2 separate regions of the Mus musculus genome follow, and region 2 is reported to be linked to region 1. Evidence: microRNA targets listed by miRTarBase, many of them from high-throughput screens and not tested one by one. Region 1 holds a microRNA gene; the other region holds the end of a gene's coding sequence.

The links. Region 1 holds the annotated microRNA mmu-let-7a-5p (UGAGGUAGUAGGUUGUAUAGUU, at 1,944-1,965, opposite strand). A microRNA usually pairs through its seed, bases 2 to 8, with sites in the 3' UTR of a target mRNA and lowers its output. Matches are read on the target gene's strand: a 7mer-m8 pairs with bases 2 to 8, a 7mer-A1 pairs with bases 2 to 7 and ends in A, and an 8mer does both.
Region 2: the mRNA of Il13 is a reported target of mmu-let-7a-5p. Seed matches in the 3' UTR shown: 8mer at 2,358-2,365.

Annotation. Positions count from the first base shown.
Region 1 is chr13:48,536,296-48,539,424 of GRCm38, forward strand. Mirlet7a-1 (microRNA let7a-1) reads right to left here and starts at 1,977; the gene lies at 1,884-1,977. It overlaps Mirlet7f-1 (microRNA let7f-1), which reads right to left and starts at 1,622; the gene lies at 1,534-1,622.
Region 2 is chr11:53,629,252-53,632,321 of GRCm38, forward strand. Il13 (interleukin 13) reads right to left here. Exons shown (of 4, transcript NM_008355.3): 4 at 2,072-2,909. The coding sequence ends at 2,814. Among named protein-coding and RNA genes, the nearest start is that of Il13, 3.9 kb to the right of the region's middle.

The DNA of each region.
Region 1 (3,129 bases):
TTAAAAATTAATCCAATTTAATCAGAGGATTAAAAAAGAAACCAACAATCTCTAACACTCAGCCCACTGTATATTTTATTTAAAACAATTATCAAAACTTCAAATATCAACTCTCATAAAATGGCCTCTTGGTAACCAGAAAATTACTTATCAAGTCAAACAAATGAGCCTAAAGCTTTTGCCATTTACTGGCCACATACTTCTCACTTATAACTAGCATCTCCATTATTTCAATTTTTGATGCCTGAATTAAAACAGAAGCAAATTCAGGTCATGACTTTTACCACTGGCAAAGACCAGTTTTAAGTGATTCTATCACTTTGCATAGTCACTTCAGTGGTTTTACAAAATACACCAGTTCTACAAATTCCATCTATTTGGTATAATAAGGATGTTAGTCCTCATGCAATTCATAACTAAAATATAAATAATCATCCCCAGGCCTCAGTAAAGGATGTTACAAAACTGCAAACTGGTAGATAGCCATGCTGGAGGAATAAGGGGTCACAAAATTCCTTGGCTACTTGCAATACATTCAACAGGTAGGTTATGCAGTCAACTTAAGAAAAAGCCAAAAAGCAAAAAGATTAAGCCAAAAAGAATCTTAAACATTTCTCCTTTTCTTTGGCATTAAATAAGACGTATATATTCCCCACCTGTTCCTCTATGTGGTCAATGTTTTGTATGTAACAAACACCAAATTTTCCAAAGTGTCCACCTACACAAGATTATTAAATAAAAAGTTTACATTTGGTTCAGGATATATCACTTGACCTGAGCTTATCCAAAGGAGTTTTATTCATGAAAAGATCATACTGACTATACCAATGCACTGAACTATAGTTAGATATAACTGCCCTTGCTTCCACGTTTTGCCTTTCCCCCTCTCTTTACTACAGCAAACAGTTAAAACCTAGAGCTTTTGGCCTTGCTTAGAAGGTCCAACAGATAGTTTGAGCACTAGAAAAAGCTGAAACATGAGCCCATCAACACTGCTAACATTCAAGTCACCTTTTAAAATACCCCTCTCATATTTTCTTTAAAGCTACCAATTATGGGCTTTGTCAAACCGAGTTTTGGGTGACTCCTTTGTCTTGTGGGTAAAATTGAGGCCTTAGGAGAACTAAGACAGAAGCCAGAGCCCCTCTTTCCTGTGTCTGTCCAAATCAATATACCAGTGAAGTAATATTAATACTCAGAGCATTTTAAGTATGATAATAAAATAACCAGATTTCAATTTAGTCCAGCAGTACCCTTCCAGTTGGTATGCCCATTTACCTGTGACATCTTTCTCTGGGCATGTGTAACAGAAATATAAAACTATACATCTATTAATAATCCCAAAAGGCCTGGTCCTAGATACTTACTTTTCTCATTCAGATATTTGTCCAAATTTCTTTAAACATGAACACTAAAAATGTTATAACAATGTTTATTGCACTGAGGAAATGAACTGTAAAATAAAACAAAAGGTCAGAATTCACCTATGTTTTATAATATCCTCTAGATAAAAACAATGCAGCAAGTCTACTCCTCAGGGAAGGCAATAGATTGTATAGTTATCTCCTAAACAGGGTAAAATCACTACCCCACAACTATACAATCTACTACCTCACTCTGATAGAGCAAGTTTTTCTTCTGGAATAAGCATCAGTCTCTTTCAAGAAAGGTTAACATTAAATCATCATCATCAATCAAAATTAAATCTTCATTTACATTGACACAGAATGCAAAGTAAGTAAAAACTTGCCCATTCCCATCATCTACTTGTTAAATTAAAAAGCATGCATAGCATAAGCAAATGCTTTTAAGGCAAGATATACTTTAAAACACTGCAGTTTGTTCTTGGTTTCCTATGAGACCCCATGAATGCAGACTTTTCCATCACCTTAGGAAAGACAGTAGATTGTATAGTTATCTCCCAGTGGTGGGTGTGACCCTAAAACTATACAACCTACTACCTCATCCCACAGTGAAGAGAACATCCAGGGTGAATGTTGAAAGTAATCACAGCTGAGCATCACAGGAAGCCGTTCTCCTTTGTAATTCCGGTTTCCTGTGTAATGAGGGAAAAGAAAATATTAGATTTTCACTACTTTAACTTGAACATGAAGTTTAACTGAACAGTTACATATATGACCTATATTGTAGTTTCATTGTATTATATGATACACCTGGGCTATAAGCCTCTAATTCAATATGTTATAAGATCTAGAAATTACATTCTTACCACTGTCTAATACTGAAGCTTAAATGTCCCCAATCCAAAAACCTAGTTCCCAGAGTACCAGTATGAAATGACCAAATGAAAGTTTATAGCTGGTGTGTGATATCGTAGCCAAAATTATGGGCACATTAAATATACGTGAAATTATCAAAGAGTAGGAAAAGATGTTCATGAGACAAATGAATTATGTAGTGACCTAATAGTAAAGATTACAAAGATAAGCAAGAACATATTGATTCAATGTCATGTAAGTTACAGTTCAAAAAATAAAGCCATATTCAAGGTCAACAGATTTTCATTAAGAGCACCAGGGAGGTTGGGACAAGAGGACTGCTGTAAATTTGAGGCCAAACCAAGCTACAAAATTAAAACCCAATCTCAAAAAACAAAAACCAGGCAAGAGGTATTTACCAGAGCTGAGACAGCTACTGATCTAGAAGCAGAGACGATATGGCTCATAAACACAAATACCCAATAAGTACAGGAAAGATCTAAATTATCATTCTTTAGTCATTATGAATATACCTATCCAAAACAGGACAACACACATCCATTAAAGCTATCCATCAAAAAAGGTAATGAGGACTAGAGATATATATTCAGGGAATAAGGTTGCCTATCGCCAAGCCTGAAAGACGTAAATTCAATCTTCAGGATCCACATGGTGAGGAGAGCTGATTTTCACAAGTCATCCTCTGACTACCACACACAAACATTTCTAAGATATTAGTAAGCTCTAGCAAGGATGTACACAAACTAGAATCTCATAGACTGTTGTTGAGAATAGTGAAAAGGCAAAGCTACTTTTAAGTTTAATAATTCACTAAGAATTTGAGCCATCATCAAATACAAGTTTAAGTTAGTATTGGACTCAAGTTAGTGATCCTGAAATAGTATATCTA
Region 2 (3,070 bases), not on the chromosome of region 1:
CACCCAAGGTTGTCCTCTAGCTTATCTACACGAGTGCGCACGCACACACACACACACACACACACACACACATGTATACACATGCACACAGTCACACACACATGCACACTCACACATGCACATACATGTACATACATGGGTACACACACATACACACACACACTCATACACACATGTATATATATATGCATACACAGTCACACACACATACACACACACACTCATACACACATGTATATGTATATGCATACACAGTCACACACACATGCACACTCACACATGCACATACATGTACATACATGGGCGCACACACATACACATTTCACCCTTTTTTAAAAATAGCAAAGCAAGCTGGTCAGTGTGGCGCACATCTTTAATATCAGCACTGGGGAGGTAGAGGCAGGTGAATACGAGTTTGAGGCCAGCCTGGTCTACATATCAAGTCTCAGAATAGGCAGGGCCACAGAGAGAAACTCTTGTCTCAAAAAAAACCAAAAACCAAAAAACAAACAAACAAAAAAAACCCCAAGAAAACAAAAAAACAAAACAAAAAAAACCCAAAACAACAACAAAAGCAAAAAACCAACAAAAAATGGTCCATTTAATCTTTGATTTTAGACCATGGGTAGAGAAGGAGGAGAGAAGGCCACTGCTCACCCCGAACTCTCCAGCAGGGCTCCCAGCAGGAAAGATGGAGGAGACATCCTCTTCCCTGCCTTTGTAAGTTCTGTCTGGCACCATGTCCTTCAGTACTCAATCTGGGTGGCCGGTGCTGTGCCAGCACAGATAGTCCTCAGAAAAGGTGACCTCTCTGGCAGGACTGGAAGCCAGTCCTGCCCTGCTATCCATATTCCCTTTCTTGCAGAGTAGCTGGCTCTGGGCGCTATTGCTTGGTCTCTTCTGCCTCTCTTCTTTGTCAGCTGTGAGGCAGGAAGGGGAGACTATTCCCCATGCGTTGGCTAAGTTGCTGCCATGTCATCTGGTGTTGCTGGGTTGACATGCAACTTTGAGTACTGGAATCTCAGATCTGGCCTGTTCCAGGAGGGCTCCTGCTGTCATTCAGAGTTTGAGCGGTCCCTGACCCCCACCCCACGCCTGCCACACAAGTTTCCTGCCCTTCTCAGTGGCTTTCCGCTCTGGGCAGCACCTCCCAAGGATGCCACCAGACATCATGTTAGCTAGCGCTTACTGATGCAGCCGTTCCCAACACTCCAGCTTGCGGGCCAGCAAGGGAGAGGCAGGCCACCTGCTCTGAGGTGCTGTCTTCCATGTCTGTCTACCCTAGTCCCCACATGTATCTGGTCCATCCCAGCGTACAAAACTGAACAGTTTGTCCTTAGAAAGTAAGTGGTGAATGTCTCATCACCAGGGGACATCCAAACAGGCAGTATACTGGAAAGAGCCATGCATTTAGGCGGGTGACTTTTGAAAGAGGAGGCAGAATGTAGCCTTTATTTCCTCCCAGTACATGCCTTGGACGAGCCTCCTGCCCGCATCATGCCTCGGGCTCTTTTTGTTGATGTTGTTGTTTTGTTTTTTTGTTTTGTGGTGACAGGGTTTCTCTGTGTATCCCTGGCTGTCCTGGAACTCACTCTGTAGACCAAGCTGGCCTCGAACTCAGAAATCCGCCTGCATCTGTATCTGCATCTGCTGGGATTAAAGGCGTGTGCTACCACTGCCTGGCTCAGTCAGTGCTCCTAACCACTGAGCCATCTCTCCAGCCCATGCCTCGGGCTCTTATGTGCCCTCCTAGGGTGGCAAGGGAGACCTGAGACTGTGTGGGTGGTACAGACAAAGCTGGCCAGTCATCAGGAGATACCCAAGAGGTTCCCCGCTTGCCCCAGACATTTCCTGGCCCAAGCTCCCCCGGATCCCCCACAGTAGACAGGGGGCGTGTCTCCTCGGTCGGCCACAGACCAGAGGACTTACTCTCTCTCAGCCCAGGTCCTGCTCATCACTCCTCCTATCTCTCCTTTGAGCAGCCTACCCCACACTGGGCTCCTCAGTTTGGAGCCCACAGAGCAGCATCCCCCAGGGCCCCCCAAAAAAAGACAGCCAAAGCAGGCAGGCCTATCTGTCACCATCTTTATTTCCGGTTTCTAGTTTGACAGTCAATGAAAAGTTTGTTCAGTGACAAACCCACCACCCTCCCCCCATTCACTACACATCACCTTGAGTGTAACAGGCCATTCTTCCATATATTATTAACTCTTTGCTAAGCTATTTAATACTTTAAATATAAGAACAAAACAATAAGTTATTTCATGGCTGAGGGCTGGTTGCTGCCGTGGCAGACAGGAGTGTTGCTCTGGCCTCCCCTCCCATCTCCTGCCTGGGGTGAGACCTGGAGGCTACAGTGAGGTAGCAGAGTTATGTATACAGTAATATTGCCAGGGACCCCAGAGCCCACTGCTTCAATGCTGGAGCCCCCAGGGCATAGGCAGCAAACCATGTCCCCACCGGGATACTGACAGACTCATTTAAATAACACACAACCATAATAAATAAGATCAAGAAGAAATGTGCTCAAGCTGCTGCCTGCCTCAGTTGCCCTGTGTGGACCAGGCCACAGGCTGGACTCACGGTCTTGCTGCAGTTTTCTGTAGGGATGGGATGGGGCGGCGGGGGTGGGGGTGGGGTGGGGGTGTTGCCAGGCTGAGACCCTGAGCACTAGGCAGGCAGTGCAGGCTGAGGCCAAAGCTGAGGCATCTCCCTTCCTCCTCAACCCTCCTCCCTGCCTCTCCCCAGCAAAGTCTGATGTGAGAAAGGAAAATGAGTCCACAGCTGAGATGCCCAGGGATGGTCTCTCCTCATTAGAAGGGGCCGTGGCGAAACAGTTGCTTTGTGTAGCTGAGCAGTTTTGTTATAAAGTGGGCTACTTCGATTTTGGTATCGGGGAGGCTGGAGACCTGTGAAACGGCAGAGAAGCCCATCCATTAGAGGGACGCCAAGGTCAAGAACAGTTGGCATTCAGCAGGGGCTTTCCAGGGACAGGCCCTTACGATGCTACCAAAAGTCCCTGCCAGGTGGCTTCTGGCTCTGCCTCTACTTTACAACTGTGAATACTGAG